4 linked regions of the Saccharomyces cerevisiae S288C genome follow. Changing the gene in region 1 together with any one later gene gives a genetic interaction. Each region holds a gene or a part of one and is shown in the gene's direction. Other genes may lie near its edges. The genes, in order: MCM10, REV1, AAH1 and POL31.

Region 1 (5,620 bases):
ATTCCAATATAAATTCTTGGATCAAAATAGTGATGCAAGCACGTTAGAACCGACTTTGAGAAAAGAATTAGAGCAAATCCAAGTTCAATTGAAGGATGCAAACTCACAGATACAGGCTTATGAAGAAATTATATCATCGAATGAAAATGCGCTAATAGAATTGAAAAATGAACTAGCAAAAACCAAAGAAAATTACGATGCTAAGATTGAACTAGAGAAGAAGGAAAAATGGGCGAGGGAAGAAGATCTATCTCGTTTACGCGGAGAGCTCGGTGAAATAAGAGCTTTGCAACCGAAACTAAAAGAAGGTGCATTGCATTTCGTTCAACAATCAGAAAAGTTGAGGAATGAGGTAGAAAGGATCCAAAAAATGATAGAAAAAATTGAAAAAATGAGTACGATTGTCCAACTGTGCAAAAAAAAAGAAATGTCCCAATATCAGTCCACAATGAAGGAAAATAAAGATCTATCTGAATTGGTTATCCGCCTTGAAAAGGATGCGGCTGATTGCCAAGCAGAATTAACAAAAACCAAATCCTCATTGTATAGCGCTCAGGATTTACTCGATAAACATGAAAGGAAATGGATGGAGGAAAAGGCTGATTATGAAAGAGAATTGATATCTAATATTGAACAGACGGAATCCTTGCGTGTTGAAAATTCGGTATTGATTGAAAAGGTTGATGACACAGCAGCAAATAATGGCGATAAAGATCATTTGAAGCTAGTTTCTTTGTTTTCAAACTTACGTCATGAAAGAAATTCTTTAGAGACGAAGTTAACCACCTGTAAGAGAGAATTGGCATTCGTTAAACAAAAGAACGATAGTTTAGAAAAAACGATAAATGACCTGCAACGAACCCAGACTTTATCGGAGAAGGAATACCAATGCTCTGCAGTTATTATTGACGAATTCAAGGATATCACGAAAGAAGTTACTCAAGTTAACATTTTAAAAGAGAATAATGCCATCTTACAAAAGAGTCTCAAAAACGTAACCGAAAAAAACAGGGAAATTTATAAACAATTAAATGATAGGCAAGAAGAAATTTCTCGATTACAGCGTGATCTCATACAAACAAAAGAACAAGTTTCGATAAATTCTAACAAAATTTTAGTATATGAAAGTGAAATGGAGCAATGTAAACAGAGGTACCAGGACTTATCTCAACAACAAAAAGATGCCCAAAAAAAAGACATTGAAAAGCTAACTAATGAGATTAGTGATTTGAAGGGAAAACTTTCAAGCGCTGAGAACGCAAACGCTGACTTGGAAAATAAATTCAATAGGCTAAAGAAGCAGGCTCATGAAAAATTGGACGCATCTAAGAAACAACAAGCTGCTTTAACTAACGAACTCAACGAATTAAAAGCAATTAAAGACAAATTAGAACAAGATCTACACTTTGAAAACGCTAAAGTTATTGATCTAGATACGAAGCTCAAAGCACATGAACTCCAATCAGAAGACGTCTCGAGAGATCACGAAAAGGACACTTATCGGACATTAATGGAGGAAATTGAATCACTCAAAAAGGAGTTACAAATTTTCAAAACTGCGAATAGCTCATCTGATGCATTTGAGAAATTGAAAGTTAACATGGAGAAAGAAAAGGACAGAATTATTGACGAAAGAACGAAGGAATTTGAAAAAAAATTACAAGAGACCTTAAATAAGAGTACAAGCTCAGAAGCAGAATACAGTAAAGATATCGAAACATTGAAAAAGGAATGGCTAAAGGAATATGAAGATGAAACGTTAAGGAGAATTAAGGAAGCAGAAGAGAATTTAAAGAAAAGAATAAGGTTACCAAGCGAGGAAAGGATACAAAAGATCATTAGTAAGCGTAAAGAAGAATTAGAAGAAGAATTTCGAAAGAAATTGAAAGAAAACGCGGGAAGCTTAACGTTTCTTGATAACAAAGGTAGCGGGGAAGATGCCGAAGAAGAATTATGGAACAGTCCATCGAAGGGGAATTCTGAGAGGCCGTCGGCTGTCGCTGGCTTTATAAATCAAAAAAACCTTAAACCTCAAGAACAATTGAAGAATGTGAAGAATGACGTTTCCTTCAATGACAGCCAGTCAATGGTTACAAATAAAGAAAATAATATCGTGGATAGTAGCGCTGCTGGTAACAAGGCCATTCCAACCTTTAGTTTTGGTAAGCCATTCTTCTCCTCTAATACATCATCTCTTCAAAGTTTTCAGAACCCATTCACAGCATCCCAATCTAATATCAATACGAATGCCCCCCTACGTACACTCAATATTCAACCTGAAGTTGCAGTCAAAGCGGCGATTAACTTTTCCAACGTAACCGATCTAACTAACAATAGCACCGATGGAGCAAAAATAACAGAAATTGGAAGTACATCTAAACGGCCAATTGAGAGCGGTACATCTTCTGATCCAGACACCAAAAAGGTTAAAGAGAGTCCAGCAAATGATCAAGCTTCCAACGAGTGATGTAATATTAAACAATGTAATTATATAAATATGAAACATCTACATATTTTAAATGTCACTAATGTCATTACAGAGGACATAAAGTGATTTATGACACATCCGTACTAGTAGTTAAGTATGAACAAATTTTGGGTTTATTTGCCATTTTTTTTCACGCGGGTTTCTTGGATGCGCAAACCCACCTTTTCTAACACCACTAAGAAATATCAACTTTATAGGCCATCGAAGATAAAGGAACGTAAGTTTGTCAATTCAACCTCACATTTTCAACGCACATTAAGCACTTGGTTCGTGGAGAAATGAATGATCCTCGTGAAATTTTAGCGGTTGATCCGTACAATAATATTACTTCTGATGAAGAGGATGAGCAAGCCATCGCGAGAGAACTTGAATTTATGGAACGAAAGAGGCAGGCCTTAGTGGAACGATTAAAAAGAAAGCAAGAATTTAAGAAACCCCAGGATCCTAATTTTGAAGCCATCGAGGTACCTCAATCTCCTACCAAAAACCGTGTGAAAGTGGGGTCTCATAATGCTACACAACAAGGCACAAAATTCGAAGGTTCGAATATTAATGAAGTAAGGTTATCTCAATTACAGCAGCAACCAAAACCACCAGCTAGTACAACCACATACTTTATGGAGAAATTTCAAAACGCAAAGAAGAACGAAGATAAACAAATTGCCAAGTTTGAAAGCATGATGAATGCAAGAGTACATACGTTCAGTACCGATGAGAAGAAATATGTGCCGATAATCACAAACGAATTAGAAAGCTTTTCAAATCTTTGGGTTAAAAAGAGGTACATACCTGAAGATGACTTAAAACGGGCTTTGCATGAGATCAAAATCCTTCGGTTGGGCAAACTTTTTGCTAAAATTCGCCCACCTAAATTTCAAGAGCCTGAATACGCCAACTGGGCCACCGTAGGCCTCATTAGCCACAAATCGGACATCAAATTTACATCATCTGAAAAGCCAGTCAAATTCTTCATGTTCACCATAACGGACTTTCAGCATACACTAGATGTTTATATCTTCGGGAAAAAGGGTGTAGAAAGATATTATAATCTTCGCCTGGGTGATGTGATAGCAATATTAAACCCAGAAGTACTACCATGGAGACCCTCAGGGCGAGGAAATTTTATCAAATCCTTCAACCTTCGAATTAGTCATGACTTCAAATGTATCCTGGAGATAGGTTCAAGTAGAGATTTAGGTTGGTGTCCCATAGTGAATAAAAAGACTCACAAAAAATGTGGCTCTCCCATTAACATATCTCTTCATAAGTGTTGCGATTACCATAGAGAAGTGCAATTTCGTGGAACAAGTGCTAAAAGAATTGAATTAAATGGTGGGTACGCCTTGGGCGCGCCTACGAAAGTGGACTCTCAACCAAGCCTATATAAGGCCAAAGGGGAAAACGGGTTTAATATAATCAAAGGTACTCGTAAGCGCCTGTCAGAAGAGGAGGAAAGACTTAAAAAGAGCTCTCACAATTTTACGAATAGTAATTCTGCCAAAGCATTTTTCGACGAGAAATTTCAGAATCCAGATATGCTGGCAAACTTAGACAATAAAAGAAGGAAAATAATAGAAACTAAGAAATCGACAGCACTGAGCCGCGAACTAGGCAAAATTATGAGAAGGAGGGAATCCAGCGGATTAGAAGATAAGAGCGTCGGAGAGCGACAGAAAATGAAACGAACCACAGAAAGTGCCCTCCAGACAGGGCTTATCCAACGCCTAGGATTCGATCCCACTCATGGAAAAATTTCCCAAGTACTCAAGTCTTCTGTATCAGGGAGCGAACCTAAGAACAACTTACTCGGTAAAAAAAAAACTGTTATAAACGATCTCTTGCATTACAAGAAGGAAAAAGTCATTCTCGCACCTTCAAAGAACGAATGGTTCAAGAAAAGAAGCCATCGCGAAGAAGTTTGGCAAAAACATTTCGGATCCAAGGAAACTAAAGAAACTTCTGACGGTAGTGCCAGCGATCTTGAGATAATATAAATAAGTATTGGTGTGCTTTTCAGGGCCCCAAAATGGTATTACTTTTGATGGACAATGGCGCGGGTAATGATTGAAAAATTATGATGAAAAATTGAGTGATTTTGGTTGCAATATAGGGAATCAATCCTTAAAGTGAGAAAGAACAGAAGAGAACATCTTGTGAGACACAAAACGCTCCGAAAACATCTCCCTCTTGGGCGCATCCTTCATTCTGTACTCTTTACTTCACTTTACAGTCGTTTTTGGCCGATCTTTGGCAGCATCTAACGTTATTTTTAGGTTCAATACATAACAACAAGACCACGGATATCGCATAATATGGTTGACCTAATGGTGCCGGCGAATGATGACCCTAGTAATGAAACTGATTATTCTAGATCCAACAACAACCACACTCATATTGTGAGCGATATGCGCCCGACCTCCGCCGCATTTCTTCATCAAAAGCGACATAGTTCTTCGTCGCACAATGATACACCAGAGTCGTCGTTCGCTAAAAGAAGGGTGCCTGGAATTGTAGATCCCGTAGGGAAAGGATTTATAGATGGAATAACTAATAGCCAGATCTCTGCACAAAACACACCCTCCAAAACTGATGATGCATCTAGAAGACCGAGCATCTCTCGCAAAGTTATGGAATCGACACCACAAGTTAAGACCAGTTCTATTCCAACAATGGATGTTCCTAAATCTCCATATTATGTGAATAGAACTATGCTTGCTCGAAATATGAAGGTTGTTTCTAGAGACACTTATGAAGATAACGCAAATCCACAAATGAGAGCTGACGAGCCATTAGTCGCTTCAAATGGTATTTATAGCAATTCGCAACCCCAAAGCCAAGTAACTTTATCCGATATTAGAAGAGCTCCTGTAGTTGCTGCTTCACCCCCGCCGATGATAAGGCAACTTCCTTCGGCGCAGCCAAATCAGACGTTTATTAAAAAACTGCAGGAAATTTATAAAATCATAGTGGTGCAGGAAACCGAGTTACAACAAAGATGCCTTTATTTAACCACCTCTCAAACCACAGAACTAAAAAGTTTGTGGGCAATATACAGACTGAACACAGAACTGATCAAAAATTACATCAATTTCATCATCACTGCATTATTAACTACACAACCTATAAACGACT
Region 2 (6,641 bases), on another chromosome or scaffold:
AGTCGTATTAGCGCCCTCCCCCTTACTTCAACAGTATCGTAGGATTGGCATTGCATATACGCCGATTTTAGCGTTGTTAATTGATCATTGCTGGCTTGCCACGTGATGGCAATAGGCTTTCTCTCGTGCTCGACCCCTAATGTCAGTTCAAGCAGGGAACGTGCCAAACATGGCTAGTGCATTTTTTACGTAAGCCGCAAAGAGGTTCCTCTTTTCTTAGTGTTTCGCCCTACTGATAAGAATGTGAAAAAGTAAACGATAAGATTAATATAATTAAAAAATGTTTCAATTCTAGACATCGTACCCACAAAGGCTGCCCATATCATATCGTAATACAGATCCGCTTTTCAGATTACATCCGATTTTCAGACTGAAAAGCAGCATAGCGGCAGTATGATGAATACAAGCGCGCTTATCTGTCGCTCTTCTTACTTGGAAAGGGAATCATATTACCCGGCAGGGCGCTGACGGGAGCCGCATTAAATAAGCATACGAAAATCATCAAGGTTATCGGCATTTAATTTTTTAGAGGCTTCTTTATATCCCATAGTTAGATTATTCAATCAAAAGGTTGTAAATGCCTATTAAGTTGCCTCTTGTCATGGTCCCATATTCCCTGAGGCATTCCTGCCAAGAATAATGGATTTCTTTCATGCATAATTATTGAGTATTTGAATCATCTACATCGCACCCAAAGAAATTTGATATCGTATAATTCAGCATATTATTATATACTGTGTAAAAAGATGACATGGGAATTAAGAAACAATCATCAGATTTAGTGGATGCCGCAATACAAGGACTGATAATGTAAAGAAATAAAAGAGAACGCGACACAAAATGCAAGGAAAAATAATAAATGTTACGTAGAAATATCGGTTTCCTTTCCTTGATTTCTATATCTTAGTAATGAACTTCAAGAATATGCTTATTTTACCCAATTATAGCTTTAATCATCAATAGGATCTTAAAAATTATTCTAATATCCACCGAATTTTCGAAAAGTATACTAATTTAAACATTTGGTGTAAGCGTTTAGGTTGCTAACGTAGCAGCAAACGTTGGTATCAATCACCACTTATTGCGCTACATTTCAACAATGTTCTTGAGAAATGGGTGAATGTTGAGATAATTGTTGGGATTCCATTGTTGATAAAGGCTATAATATTAGGTATACAGAATATACTAGAAGTTCTCCTCGAGGGTCTAGGAATCCCCATAATGGAATCTATATTTCTATATACCAATATTACGATTATTCCTCATTCCGTTTTATATGTTTCATTATCCTATTACATTATCAATCCTTGCACTTCAGCTTCCTCTAACTTCGATGACAGCTTCTCATAACTTGTGTCATCATCTTAACACCGTATATGATAATATATTGATAGTATAACTATTAGTTGATAGACGATAGTGGATTTTTATTCCAACAGTTCTCTTCAACCATTCGTTTTTGGGACTGAGGAAAATGAATATAAAATTATAATACTTCATCTTGAACTTTGAGAAATCACAAATTGTATGGGCGTGTGGTCTAGTGGAATGATTCTCGCTTTGGGCGATCCCCCTGATCAAACAGGAGGAACAAAGCATGCGAGAGGCCCTGGGTTCAATTCCCAGCTCGCCCCTTTTTTTGCAACTTCGTTTTAGACAGTTACTTAATTTTGTTTCTTAGGCACAACAATATTTATAAAAGAAGAATGTAAGTATGACGACGAAAACGAAAAGACTAATAGTTTCATATAATACTAAACGATTTCAATTTTCGTTTTATATCCTTCCTATTCATAAATTTTATTTCGCTATGCCAATAATGAGTGGATGTATAGTTGATATCTGTTTCGATAATTTTAAAGTAGATAGTAAAATCTTACTGACATGAATAATCCGTCCAAAACTAGATTACTGTATACAAGCATATTTAAAAAAATAATGAAACTATGATCAAAAAACTGTGCTACTACAGCGGTGTTGTTATCCGATACAACCGGATATTTTTCTTTTAATGAGTCTAAACCGTGATAGCTTCAGGTTAATACAATCAAAAAAAGCTCAAATATTCTTTTAATGCCGCGTTCACAGATTCCAATTGAATACAACTAGGTAGTTCATTATATGAAGCCTTTGCTACTATTTTTCACTATAGTCTGCCTTCACCTTAATGCAGACATCCACATATTTTAATCACTTTAAAATAAAAAGGAAGATATATTAGAAGCTATGATCCAATCTGTAAGCCAGATTAAAATTCACGAACTCTTCTTTCATTTGAATTGAATGCTTTGAGTTGGGGTAGATTATCGCAAATTACTCATCACATTTATTGACTACGAACTTGCTGATGTCCTTTTTTTATTTATATTTTTCTTCAGTGAAGCGATTTTTTTTTTACACAGACCAAGACGGAAAAAAGTAGCTAAGGAAGAAAACAAAATCATGAAAAAAATGTGAAGTGATCATGCACATCGCATCAACTTAAACATTGGCTTAGAGATATATAGAGTTAGAGTTTACGGCAACCTTTAAGCACCAATACCTTTTGGCATAGTCTAAAGACCTGGTTCTTAATTTTAAACAAATTTAACTAAAGATTTCCCTATCAAAGAAGTAACGAGTTGACAGATTTTCTCAAAATAAATCGATACTGCATTTCTAGGCATATCCAGCGATGGGTGAACATGGTGGTCTTGTAGATTTATTGGACAGCGATTTGGAATACTCTATAAATAGGGAAACACCTGATAAAAACAATTGCCTTAGCCAGCAAAGTGTCAATGATTCACATTTAACAGCAAAGACCGGCGGCTTGAATGCAAGGTCTTTTCTATCTACGTTAAGCGATGATTCCTTAATTGAATATGTCAACCAACTCTCCCAAACTAATAAGAATAATTCTAATCCAACTGCAGGTACTTTAAGATTTACTACTAAAAATATTAGCTGTGATGAATTACATGCTGATCTTGGCGGTGGCGAAGATTCACCTATAGCTCGTAGCGTCATCGAGATCCAGGAAAGTGATAGCAATGGTGATGATGTTAAAAAAAATACTGTGTATACTAGGGAGGCTTATTTCCACGAGAAGGCGCACGGACAAACCCTGCAAGATCAAATATTAAAAGATCAATATAAAGATCAAATTTCTAGTCAAAGCAGTAAAATATTCAAAAATTGCGTCATCTATATAAATGGCTACACCAAACCTGGAAGACTGCAATTACACGAGATGATAGTTTTACATGGCGGAAAATTTTTACACTATTTGTCTTCAAAGAAAACGGTTACTCACATAGTGGCTTCCAATTTACCATTAAAGAAAAGGATTGAATTTGCAAATTACAAAGTAGTCAGTCCGGATTGGATAGTTGATAGCGTCAAAGAAGCAAGATTATTGCCCTGGCAAAATTACTCGTTAACATCTAAACTTGATGAACAGCAAAAAAAACTAGATAATTGTAAAACCGTAAATTCAATTCCATTGCCCTCAGAGACTAGCCTGCACAAAGGATCTAAATGTGTAGGGTCGGCATTGTTGCCAGTAGAACAGCAGTCACCAGTAAATCTCAATAATTTGGAGGCGAAAAGGATAGTCGCTTGTGATGATCCTGATTTCCTTACTTCCTATTTTGCTCATTCGAGATTACATCATCTCTCCGCATGGAAGGCCAATCTGAAAGATAAATTTCTGAATGAAAACATCCACAAGTACACCAAAATTACGGATAAGGATACCTACATTATCTTTCATATCGATTTTGACTGTTTTTTTGCAACTGTTGCGTATCTATGTAGAAGTTCTAGTTTCTCAGCATGTGATTTTAAACGGGATCCTATAGTGGTATGCCATGGTACTAAAAACTCCGATATAGCTAGTTGCAATTATGTAGCAAGGTCATATGGGATTAAAAATGGAATGTGGGTGTCTCAAGCTGAAAAGATGTTGCCAAATGGGATCAAACTAATATCATTACCATATACCTTTGAGCAATTTCAATTAAAATCGGAAGCCTTTTACAGTACTCTCAAAAGATTGAACATATTCAATTTGATTTTACCTATATCTATTGATGAAGCTGTTTGTGTGAGGATAATCCCTGATAATATTCATAACACTAATACCTTAAATGCAAGACTGTGCGAAGAAATACGCCAAGAAATTTTTCAAGGAACGAATGGTTGCACAGTGAGCATTGGATGTTCCGATTCTCTTGTGTTAGCAAGACTAGCTCTCAAAATGGCGAAACCAAATGGTTACAATATCACGTTTAAGAGTAACCTATCTGAAGAATTCTGGTCTAGTTTCAAACTAGATGATCTGCCTGGAGTTGGGCATTCTACTCTGTCAAGGTTAGAATCAACGTTTGATAGCCCACATTCTTTAAATGACTTGAGAAAAAGATATACTTTAGATGCTTTGAAGGCGAGCGTCGGCTCTAAGTTAGGTATGAAGATTCATCTCGCGTTACAAGGCCAAGATGATGAAGAAAGCTTGAAAATACTGTACGATCCCAAAGAAGTCTTACAAAGAAAATCATTATCAATTGATATCAATTGGGGAATCAGATTTAAAAATATCACTCAGGTAGACTTGTTCATAGAAAGAGGTTGTCAGTATCTTTTAGAAAAATTGAATGAAATAAACAAAACAACGTCACAAATCACATTAAAACTGATGAGAAGATGTAAAGACGCTCCAATTGAACCCCCAAAATATATGGGGATGGGAAGGTGCGACTCATTCAGTCGGAGCAGCAGATTAGGTATTCCAACAAACGAATTTGGAATTATTGCTACCGAAATGAAAAGTTTGTATCGAACTTTGGGCTGCCCTCCAATGGAATTAAGAGGTCTTGCTCTACAATTCAACAAATTGGTTGATGTGGGTCCGGATAACAATCAGCTGAAACTGAGGTTACCGTTTAAAACAATAGTGACGAACAGAGCTTTCGAAGCCTTACCGGAAGATGTAAAAAATGACATTAACAACGAGTTCGAGAAAAGAAATTATAAGAGAAAAGAATCCGGGTTGACTTCAAACTCATTGAGCTCTAAAAAAAAAGGATTTGCCATTTCCAGATTAGAAGTAAATGATTTGCCCAGTACTATGGAAGAACAGTTTATGAATGAACTACCAACCCAAATTCGAGCAGAAGTAAGGCACGACTTGAGAATTCAGAAAAAAATCCAACAGACAAAGTTAGGAAACCTACAAGAAAAGATAAAAAGGAGAGAAGAGAGCCTACAGAACGAGAAAAATCATTTCATGGGCCAAAATAGTATATTCCAGCCGATCAAATTCCAAAATCTGACACGGTTCAAAAAAATTTGTCAATTAGTGAAACAATGGGTTGCCGAAACTTTAGGTGATGGAGGGCCGCATGAAAAAGATGTTAAATTATTCGTGAAATATTTGATTAAACTTTGCGATTCTAATAGAGTCCATTTAGTTCTTCATTTATCAAACCTAATATCAAGGGAATTAAATCTCTGCGCCTTTTTAAATCAGGATCATTCAGGCTTCCAAACGTGGGAAAGAATTTTACTCAATGATATAATTCCACTTTTAAACAGAAATAAACATACTTACCAGACTGTGCGTAAACTTGACATGGACTTTGAAGTTTGAATTAAAAAAAAAAAAACATTTCAGCATACAGTAAACACGCAGTTTGCGAACATTACCTGTAATATCTGCATGATTATTACCAAAGAAAAAAAAAATAACTGACACAATGGACAATTAAATAAAATTAAGTAAAAAAAATAAGGACTTTAATTTTTACTAGAATTCTTGACCAACAGTAGAAATGCGTAAGGTATTGGAATGGCCGACTCCTCCTTTGAATCCTTGAATGGAAACAACAGTATCACCGTTGTCCACCATTCCGAAAGACCTCGCCATTTCAACACCAAACTTTAGGCGCCTATGAACATCCTCACCCCAGTCGTCTAGGCGTTTCGGTTCATACAGAAATGGGAAAACACCTCTATACAAATGCGCAATTCTTGCCGTTCTTGCGTGTCTTGTTACTAATATGATAGGGCAGCTTGGTCTATACTTCGACAGTAGCCTTGCCGTGTTCCCTGTAGTAGATAATACAACGATGGCCTTACCATCTTGCTCCAAGATTGCTGCGGTAGCTGCAGCTGCTACAGTTTCCGTAGTGGAAGTAGGTTTGGGAGTGGCGTCTCTGAGATCGTCATAAAGAGCCAAATGAGCGATAGTACTTTCAGCAATCAGAGCGGTCGCCGCCATAATATTAACTGCATTCACCGGATAATCACCCTTCGCCGTTTCTCCAGAAAGCATAACACAATCAGCACCATCCAACACAGCGTTACCCACATCCGATACTTCAGCCCTTGTCGGTCTCGGATTGTGTGTCATTGAATCCAGCATCTGAGTCGCGCAAATGACAGGTTTGCCCGCCAAATTACATTTTGCAATCAGCTTTTTTTGAATGGCTAATACTTCAGGTGCCAGGATTTCAATTCCTAAATCGCCTCTCGCTATCATAACACCATCCGTGACTTCCAGGATTTCGTCAAAATTATCCAACCCTTGCTGGTTTTCTATCTTGGATATAATCTTGATATCTTGCCCTTCAGAACCCAACGCTTTTCTGATAGACAAC
Region 3 (5,151 bases), on another chromosome or scaffold:
GGTTGTCAACTTCATTTTATAGGCTGCCTGGTCACCGATTACCGCCCCGCTCAGCAGGACGGTTTAAGCTTCTGTTCTTGGAAACGACGTAATTCATGTCGGCCATCGAAATCATTCCTGGCTTTGTAATAGTCATAATGAACAAGGAATGCTGTCTTGGGTTTTTTTCCCTTTGCGAATACCCGGGCTGCCAAAATAGAAAAGGAACAAATGGTAGGTCTTTAAGATAAGAAAGATAAGATAAGACATCTTTTTTTTTTTTTTTTTTTTTTTTTTTTTTTTCCGATAACAAAGAAGAATCCTTCGGTCTCTTCTTACTGCTGTTACTGCTTATCAAGAGTGTCTGGTAATAGTCAAAGCCAGATAAGATAAGAAATGTAAAATCGACTATTTCCCTCGTAAAAAGCTTCAATTGCTCACGCATCGACGAATACTAAGCGGCGTGAAGACCCTGTGCCTTATCAATGAAGTATTCAGTACAAGAGGTGTTCATTCCGAGCCACTTTTCTGCACCATATATAAGCAGTAGTTACACATGTGCTAACCAAACATCAGTGGGTAGTAATCATTCGTGCTTTCACGTCCTTTCAAATTAAATATCCTTCTTAAATAATAAGTCTGCACAGAGCTTTGAAAGAAGTTTAGTTTTGTAATATATCATACTTAATATATTACAATACAATATCAACAATGTCTTACAATTTTACAGGTACGCCTACAGGCGAAGGAACGGGTGGTAACTCGTTGACAACAGATTTGAATACACAATTTGACTTGGCCAACATGGGATGGATCGGTGTGGCTTCAGCAGGTGTGTGGATTATGGTCCCAGGTATCGGTTTATTATATTCTGGTTTATCCAGGAAAAAGCATGCTTTATCCTTGCTTTGGGCCTCGATGATGGCTTCCGCCGTGTGTATTTTCCAATGGTTTTTCTGGGGATACTCATTAGCTTTCTCACACAACACTAGAGGTAACGGTTTTATTGGTACCTTGGAATTCTTTGGGTTTCGTAACGTTTTAGGAGCCCCATCTAGTGTCAGTTCTCTTCCCGATATACTGTTTGCCGTTTACCAAGGTATGTTTGCCGCAGTCACCGGTGCCCTAATGCTAGGTGGTGCCTGCGAGAGGGCAAGGTTGTTTCCTATGATGGTGTTCTTGTTTTTATGGATGACTATTGTTTATTGTCCTATTGCATGCTGGGTCTGGAATGCCGAGGGTTGGTTGGTCAAATTGGGTAGCTTGGACTATGCAGGTGGTTTATGTGTCCATTTAACATCTGGACATGGTGGTCTAGTTTACGCTTTGATACTGGGTAAGCGTAATGACCCTGTTACACGTAAAGGGATGCCCAAGTACAAACCACATTCCGTCACCTCGGTGGTTTTAGGCACAGTGTTCTTATGGTTTGGTTGGATGTTCTTTAACGGAGGCTCTGCAGGTAATGCAACTATACGAGCATGGTACTCTATTATGTCCACAAACTTAGCTGCTGCTTGCGGTGGCTTGACATGGATGGTTATCGATTATTTCAGATGCGGAAGAAAGTGGACTACAGTTGGTTTGTGTTCAGGTATCATCGCTGGCCTAGTGGGTATCACCCCAGCCGCCGGGTTCGTGCCAATCTGGTCAGCCGTTGTCATTGGTGTGGTTACTGGTGCAGGATGTAACCTTGCTGTTGACTTAAAGAGTCTATTGCGCATCGATGATGGTCTAGATTGTTACTCTATCCATGGTGTGGGTGGTTGTATTGGTTCTGTATTAACTGGTATCTTTGCTGCAGACTATGTAAATGCCACTGCAGGCTCTTACATTAGTCCAATTGATGGTGGCTGGATCAATCATCACTATAAACAAGTTGGTTATCAATTAGCAGGTATATGCGCTGCACTAGCCTGGACTGTTACTGTCACATCTATCTTGCTTCTAACTATGAATGCCATTCCATTTTTAAAACTAAGATTAAGTGCTGATGAGGAAGAATTAGGTACCGACGCTGCTCAAATTGGTGAATTTACATACGAGGAATCCACTGCTTACATCCCAGAACCAATCAGATCTAAAACATCGGCACAAATGCCACCTCCTCATGAAAACATTGATGATAAGATTGTGGGTAACACAGACGCAGAAAAGAATTCTACGCCTTCCGACGCTTCTTCTACTAAGAACACTGACCATATAGTATAATGATATACTCAAGCAGACTATGATTTTATGTTTAATCTTTATGTAACGCTTCATTTAATAATTTTATTTTTAATATTTGATATATTTTCTTTTTTTGATAACTCCGAATGATGAGGGGAGACGTTAGTATTACTTCTCTTGTCTTATGTTATTATCATAATCGATGACTTTAACTGTGCACACTATAATATACAGCATCTCCAGAGCATGATAGCAAGAAATTTTCTTTAAGAAAGCCTCTATATACCCTATATATGCTGTTAACAGGAAAAGAGCACAAGGTTTATTTTGCTTTGGTTGCAAATTTTCATCGCTTATAGAAGACATATTTTGATGTAAAAACCTTGATATACTTCCTTTTTGCCTTATCTTTCACTGTTTCCATCTCTTTTCTTTTTTTTTTTTTTTTTTTTTTTTTTTTTTTTTTTTTTTTTTGAATCTTAAAATTCTCGAAACTGCACTGAAATGGCGCAGGAAACTGACCTCATCGCATGCCAACGAAGATTGAAAAAAATTAACATATAAGGCTTATGAAAGCGACATCTTTTGCAAATGAATAATTGACAAGCAGGCCTGTGTATTTATAGTTATTTTGAAATAATAACTACCATTAGAACTAACAAAAGAAAAGAAAAAAAAAATAATGGTTTCTGTGGAGTTTTTACAGGAGTTACCAAAATGTGAGCATCACTTGCATTTGGAAGGTACTCTAGAACCTGACCTATTGTTCCCATTAGCTAAAAGAAACGATATAATTCTACCTGAAGGTTTTCCTAAATCGGTCGAGGAATTAAACGAAAAGTATAAGAAGTTTCGTGATCTGCAGGATTTCTTAGATTACTATTATATTGGTACTAATGTCTTGATTAGTGAACAAGATTTCTTTGATTTGGCGTGGGCCTATTTTAAAAAAGTTCACAAACAAGGCTTGGTCCATGCTGAAGTGTTTTACGACCCTCAGTCACATACATCTAGGGGCATCTCCATAGAAACAGTCACTAAAGGTTTCCAAAGAGCTTGTGACAAAGCCTTCTCTGAATTTGGTATTACATCCAAGCTAATTATGTGTCTGTTAAGACACATTGAACCAGAGGAATGTTTGAAAACTATCGAAGAAGCTACCCCATTTATTAAAGATGGTACTATCTCTGCCTTAGGATTAGATTCTGCTGAGAAACCATTTCCCCCACATTTATTTGTTGAATGTTACGGAAAGGCCGCCTCATTGAATAAAGATTTAAAACTAACTGCACACGCAGGTGAAGAAGGCCCCGCTCAATTCGTCTCGGATGCTTTAGACTTGTTGCAAGTAACAAGAATCGATCACGGTATCAACAGTCAATACGACGAGGAGTTATTGGATAGGTTGTCGCGCGACCAGACCATGCTAACTATTTGTCCTCTCTCCAACGTGAAGCTACAAGTAGTCCAATCCGTTTCAGAGTTACCACTACAAAAGTTTCTTGACAGAGATGTTCCATTTTCTTTAAATTCTGATGACCCCGCCTATTTTGGTGGTTATATCTTAGATGTCTACACTCAAGTTTCGAAAGATTTCCCACACTGGGACCATGAAACATGGGGTCGTATCGCTAAGAACGCCATTAAAGGTTCATGGTGTGACGATAAAAGAAAGAACGGTTTGTTAAGTAGAGTGGACGAAGTAGTCACTAAATATTCGCATTAGTACCATTTGCAAGACATTGTATAATATTTTTGTTGAAAGTCTTTTTCGATTCATAAGCGCTTTTTTGTAAATTTATAACACTATGTGTATGCACAAATTTCATTCGATGTTTTTGATGCTTTTTACATCCCCTTTTGTGTGGGAAAGGATACAATAGAATTCTACAAACTTATTTGAGTGATTATACGAGCATTAGCTGGACCTTTTGTATTTCACGAGATTACAATTCGGGAACTATCAAAGTACACGTTAAAATTCAGCTCGGGTATGTTAAGTACTAGTAATTACCTCTGGTACCTACTGACGTAATTCCCACCCTTGGGACCTTGCGGAAGCGCCTGAGTATTGCTCTTTCTATTTCCGTTGTACCTTTGATTTTCATTGGCTCTATGGGCAGCACCGCTATCTCGTGTATTTCTATAATCTTGCGTTTGAAATTTGTTTCTAATTGTTTCATCCTTCTTGAATCTTTTATTCGGCTTTTCTTCATTTTCTGAAGGCGAGTCGCGCTTGTAAGATGAAGCTTGGTAAGGGTTGGCTTTGCTGCTGTCTTTGCCCTCTTGAAATGGCTTTTCAGGAAACCGTAATTGTGAACGTTGTGAACTGTTTTTCTTATACTCTTCACGTAAGCGGTTATCCCTTTGATCAAAACCATCGCCCCTGTCCGGACCTGTGGGTCTAAGTGCCCTACTTCTATCATTATATGTTTTACTTTTACTAGGTCTAGTTGGTAGTTCTGACCTTTTATGTGCATAACTACTGATTGGCTTAATATTTTTGGGTGCAGAACGATCATTGCTTGGTCCTCTATAGTTGGAACTACCATAACCATCTTTGCCTCCAGCATTTCCGCTGTACCTACTTGATCTTTTGGTATATTCAGGAGCAGCAGCTTCAGAATATGAGCTAGTCGTATCTGGGTATGGCTCGCGCGAGATATTTTTAATATACCTTTTAAGCGAATCAATTTTTTCTGCAAAATCTGGATTTTGAGGATTTTGAATGAGTGTCCTAAAGTACCTTTCGAATATTTCCAAAGTCGAATTTCTAAAGTCGAATATTGGCATATTTTGCTTAGATAATTTCCTTAAATTCCGAGTTTCATCGTCGTTCTCTACTAAGGAAATTGCCTTTTGTAAATGGTTCGTGGCCAAATAATGGTTTATATCGTCGACGTGCCTGGTGACTTTGGAATATGACCATTGACTACTAGAAGGTTTTGTTGGGATTACAGGCTCATTACGAGAATAAGTATATCTATCCTTGCTATTTAA
Region 4 (5,196 bases), on another chromosome or scaffold:
ATTGTAGCTGCATTACATACTTTATATTCCATTCACGAAAAAAACGCTAACATGGAACCCTTCAGGATTCCCTTGGAACTCGCTTTTGACATGCTAGAGCTTTTACCCGAATTAAATGAGTGGAATAAGGCTACTGTTTTGGAAGTTTTGACGACTTCGGTTGTGCCGCAGCATTATTTGGATACCCATGAAATGATCGAACTAGCTTTACCGTACCTGCAACAAGTAAACACATACGTAGTGTTGAACTCTTTAAAATTCATCATGTACTTGTTGAATTATGTTGACGTCATCAAAGAAACTCTAGCCGAAAAGCTATCTAACTCTGTAATAGCTTTGTTAGATAAGCCGCCTGAATTACAATTTTTAGTATTAAGAAACGTTATTCTTCTTTTATTGAGTAGGGAGTCATCTCTACTCAGGCTAGACATTTCGTATTTTTTCATCGAGTACAATGACCCCATATACATCAAAGACACGAAATTAGAGTGTTTATATCTTTTAGCTAACAAGGAAACATTACCAAGAATTCTAGAAGAGTTGGAACAATATGCTACAGATATTGATATTCAAATGTCAAGGAAATCAGTCAGAGCCATTGGTAATCTGGCTGTTAAGCTAGATGAAGACTCTGTACACGATTGTGTCGCTGTTCTACTAGATTTGTTAGAATTCGGTGTTGATTATGTCGTCCAGGAGATTATTTCGGTTTTCAGAAATATTTTGAGGAAATATCCCAATAATTTTAAAGCAAACGTAACAGAACTAGTCAAACACACTGAAGTTGTACAGGAACCTGAATCAAAAAACGCTATGATCTGGATAATAACGCAATATTCGGATGTAATTCCAAACTACCTGGAGTTATTTAGAGTTTTTTCCTCAAACATGTTTAGTGAGACGCTAGAAGTGCAATTTTCCATTCTGAACTCAGCAATAAAATTCTTCATCAGAAGTCCTACAAAGGAAACTGAAGAACTTTGTATGGATTTATTAAAAGGATGCATCGATCACGAAAATAATCCTGACTTAAGAGATAAAACACTGATGTATTGGAGATTGCTGTCATTAACGAAAACGTCTCGTATATCAAACGCGATAACTTTTGAATCTTTAAAATCAGTACTGGACGGAGAGTTGCCACTAATAGAAATGAACACGAAATTAGATCCCACCGTTTTGGAGGAATTGGAGCTAAACATTGGTACAATAGTATCGATTTACTTAAAACCTGTTTCTCATATCTTTAGATTGAATAAAACCAAACTGCTACCACAAAGTCCTATTTTGAATCCAAACAAAGACCTCTTGCCAGTTGTAGGTAACTCATTTCCTCCAACTGGAGCTAATAGGGACCGTCAAAATTCAGAAAGCCAGTCCTCGACGAAGTCCAGAAAGACTGCTATGATGGATGATTATGATAAGCCCGCTGAAAAAATTAATCAGTTGAAAGGTAAGCGTAAATCTAGTTCAAACAACCCCTCAAAACTATCACGGAAACCCTCAACTTTATTAAGAAAACTCTCTATGAAACGGCCCTTTTCGTGACTGCAAATGATACTAATTCCTGTATTTAAATATACTCATATTTAACGAACAATTATGATGAATGAAAAAACCTGATATAATAGACTTAACTAAGCGATCATAAAAAAATTCAAAAAGTTATTTTATAAAACAATTCAGATGTTAAACTAAAGAGTTAATGTAATATATATACAATGAACTGCGTCATAAATTCCCATAGTTCAGCTCATGGGACATTATCTACTTATAAAGACGTGGCTTGGCAGCATTTCATATATAAGGCTACTGAATGTAAATTTTTCTTCCATTGTCTTTCCCGTGTCCCGAGAACTCAATTCAAGCACTGTTCTTGGGCGTAATAAACCTTCCGGTACTACTAAAATCAGACAAAGGCAGGAAGCCTCGATTTGACCTTTTAACGGGTAAAGCTCTAAAAGTTGCTCTCTGCTCCATATTCTCGTTTTCCGTCATTTCAGTATCTTTTTCCCCTGCCTCCCTTACCTAAAGCTTCCTCTTCGGCGGCTAGTAATTGGTCTCTTTCCTTTTTGGCTCTTAGCTTCTCTGTCTTTTTTTGTTCCATAATCAGCTTCTTCTGGTTAGGGGTTCTCGCACCTTCTTCCCACCTCTGAGCTTCTTGAGCTTCTAGTTGTTGTTTCTCTAGTTGGTCCTTTTCGTAAGCTTGCCTACGTTTTCTTGCTCTTCCTGCTGCCACTTTTTTGGCAGTTTCTGAGTATCTCTTGCCAGTATTATGCATGTTCGCTTCTTCACTATGTTTGGTGGTTTCTAATGACAACTATGCGGTTAGCAAACTTCCAAAAGGCGGTTAATAATACGACTACACATTATCCTATATATATATATATATGTACGCAAGTGCTTAGATTGGAAAAAAGGGTGCAACATTCTCGATTGTTCTATTTCAGCCTGTTGATATCAATCTGTCGTTCAATGCTTTGTGGGTGTGCTTTACCCACTCTTATACAGTAGTTAAGTGGCAAAAAGGGTGTCAAAGGGAAAGGAAAACCAGAGGAAAAGCAAAATAGCCGCCAATACTAACTCTAGATTTATATCATGTTATACGATTAATCAGACGCGTCTGATTAATTTCAAAAGTTAAAATATAAACTATTTTTGAAATCCCATTGCAATAAGCGAACTATAGCTGAATCTTTCCTGCAAAAATGGAAGTGAAGGGCAATGGACGCATTGTTAACAAAGTTCAACGAGGATAGAAGTCTCCAAGATGAAAACTTGTCCCAACCACGAACGAGAGTAAGAATTGTTGACGACAATCTTTACAACAAATCGAATCCATTCCAACTATGCTATAAAAAACGTGACTACGGTTCTCAGTACTACCACATTTATCAATACCGTCTAAAGACTTTCAGAGAACGCGTCTTAAAAGAATGTGACAAGAGATGGGATGCGGGCTTTACCTTGAATGGCCAATTAGTTCTAAAAAAGGACAAAGTGTTAGATATTCAGGGAAACCAACCATGTTGGTGCGTAGGATCCATATATTGCGAGATGAAATATAAACCAAACGTACTGGACGAAGTGATCAATGATACATATGGTGCACCAGATTTAACTAAAAGTTATACTGATAAAGAGGGTGGTTCTGATGAAATTATGCTCGAAGATGAAAGTGGGAGAGTGCTTCTAGTGGGAGATTTTATTCGGTCTACACCCTTCATCACGGGTGTTGTTGTAGGTATACTGGGTATGGAAGCTGAAGCCGGGACATTTCAAGTTTTAGACATATGCTACCCCACTCCTTTACCACAAAATCCTTTCCCTGCACCAATTGCTACCTGCCCCACCAGGGGAAAAATTGCTCTTGTTTCTGGGTTAAACCTCAATAATACATCACCTGATAGGCTATTGAGATTGGAGATTTTGAGAGAATTTTTGATGGGGAGAATCAATAACAAAATTGACGACATTTCTCTAATTGGTAGATTACTGATATGCGGCAACTCTGTTGACTTCGACATTAAAAGCGTGAACAAAGACGAATTGATGATTTCTCTAACTGAGTTCAGTAAATTTCTACACAACATTTTGCCATCTATATCTGTTGATATTATGCCCGGAACCAATGATCCAAGTGACAAATCTCTACCGCAACAGCCTTTCCACAAATCATTGTTTGATAAGTCCCTAGAATCATACTTCAACGGTTCTAACAAAGAAATTTTGAATTTAGTGACCAACCCATATGAGTTTAGCTATAATGGCGTAGACGTTCTAGCCGTTTCAGGCAAAAATATCAATGATATTTGTAAATACGTAATACCATCAAATGATAACGGAGAAAGTGAAAACAAGGTCGAGGAGGGCGAGAGTAATGATTTCAAAGACGATATAGAGCATCGCCTGGACCTTATGGAATGTACAATGAAATGGCAAAACATCGCGCCCACCGCACCTGATACCTTATGGTGTTATCCGTACACTGATAAGGATCCATTTGTATTGGATAAGTGGCCCCACGTTTACATTGTGGCAAACCAGCCATATTTTGGAACAAGAGTAGTGGAAATAGGTGGTAAGAACATAAAGATAATATCTGTCCCTGAATTCAGTTCTACTGGGATGATAATATTACTGGATTTGGAAACGTTAGAAGCAGAGACGGTCAAGATTGACATTTAAATAAAACAAGGAATAATTTCCACATAGATATGCAATTAAGTTTTATATGTAAAAGTGAGCATTCATCGTTCAGCTCAAAATACGTTTCTTGTCACAGCTGGTAGAAAAACTATGAGCGTTTTTTCTTACCCGCAGTCGGAGAAAAATTTTTTCTTCGAAGAGGCGAAAAAGAGAAGAAGAGAAAGCACAAATCTGATGAAATAGTAGTATAAAATCGCATTTACAAATTTTCAACCATTGTTTATTTCCTAGGTCATTAAAGAGTAAAGTGCAATCTGTTTACTAATCAGTTTTTGTCTTCATATTTTTGTGTCTTTTCTGCTGCCTCACGCACCTTCTATAATACACCAAATAATGTCCACTTCTCATTGCAGATTTTATGAAAACAAATACCCAGAAATTGACGATATCGTCATGGTTAACGTCCAGCAGATTGCTGAAATGGGTGCTTATGTTAAATTGTTAGAATATGACAACATTGAAGGTATGATTCTACTAAGTGAATTGTCCCGTAGACGTATTAGGTCAATCCAAAAATTAATTCGTGTTGGTAAAAATGATGTCGCCGTTGTTCTTCGTGTCGACAAAGAAAAAGGTTATATTGATTTGTCCAAACGTCGTGTTTCTTCTGAAGATATCATTAAATGTGAAGAAAAATACCAAAAATCTAAGACTGTTCATTCCATTTTAAGATACTGTGCCGAAAAATTCCAAATCCCTTTGGAAGAACTATATAAGACCATTGCTTGGCCATTAAGTCGAAAATTTGGTCACGCTTACGAAGCTTTCAAACTATCCATCATTGACGAAACTGTTTGGGAAGGTATTGAACCGCCATCAAAAGATGTTTTAGATGAATTAAAGAACTATATCTCCAAGAGATTAACACCACAAGCTGTAAAGATTAGAGCCGATGTTGAAGTGTCTTGTTTTAGTTACGAAGGTATCGATGCCATTAAAGACGCATTAAAATCAGCTGAAGACATGTCCACAGAACAAATGCAAGTT

What was found.
Region 2: of MCM10 (region 1) and REV1, changing one suppresses a phenotype caused by changing the other (phenotypic suppression), as found in Saccharomyces cerevisiae (one study listed by BioGRID).
Region 3: mutations in MCM10 (region 1) and AAH1 together harm fitness more than expected from each alone (negative genetic interaction), as found in Saccharomyces cerevisiae (2 studies listed by BioGRID).
Region 4: mutations in MCM10 (region 1) and POL31 impair growth when combined (synthetic growth defect), as found in Saccharomyces cerevisiae (one study listed by BioGRID).

What each region holds. Positions count from the first base shown.
Region 1 is NC_001141.2:59,875-65,494, reverse strand, and holds MCM10 (Mcm10p), read left to right. Parts: upstream 1-2,766; coding exon 2,767-4,482; downstream 4,483-5,620. Other genes in the region: MLP2 (Mlp2p), read left to right, coding at 1-2,467; ESL1 (Esl1p), read left to right, coding at 4,801-5,620. UniProt on the Saccharomyces cerevisiae protein: Required for DNA synthesis. Required for entry into or completion of S phase. Involved in DNA replication and seems to participate in the activation of the pre-replication complex (pre-RC) and in transcription elongation.
Region 2 is NC_001147.6:979,154-985,794, forward strand, and holds REV1 (deoxycytidyl transferase), read left to right. Parts: upstream 1-2,674; coding exon 2,675-5,632; downstream 5,633-6,641. Other genes in the region: pyruvate kinase PYK2, read right to left, coding at 5,789-6,641. UniProt on the Saccharomyces cerevisiae protein: Deoxycytidyl transferase involved in DNA repair. Transfers a dCMP residue from dCTP to the 3'-end of a DNA primer in a template-dependent reaction.
Region 3 is NC_001146.8:356,763-361,913, forward strand, and holds AAH1 (adenine deaminase), read left to right. Parts: upstream 1-2,833; coding exon 2,834-3,877; downstream 3,878-5,151. Other genes in the region: YNL143C (uncharacterized protein), read right to left, coding at 32-424; ammonium permease MEP2, read left to right, coding at 691-2,190; YNL140C (uncharacterized protein), read right to left, coding at 4,155-4,724; THO2 (Tho2p), read right to left, coding at 4,162-5,151. UniProt on the Saccharomyces cerevisiae protein: Catalyzes the hydrolytic deamination of adenine to hypoxanthine. Plays an important role in the purine salvage pathway and in nitrogen catabolism.
Region 4 is NC_001142.9:446,478-451,673, forward strand, and holds POL31 (DNA-directed DNA polymerase delta subunit POL31), read left to right. Parts: upstream 1-2,724; coding exon 2,725-4,188; downstream 4,189-5,196. Other genes in the region: APL1 (Apl1p), read left to right, coding at 1-1,548; LSO1 (Lso1p), read right to left, coding at 2,000-2,281; SUI2 (translation initiation factor eIF2 subunit alpha), read left to right, coding at 4,543-5,196. UniProt on the Saccharomyces cerevisiae protein: DNA polymerase delta (DNA polymerase III) participates in chromosomal DNA replication.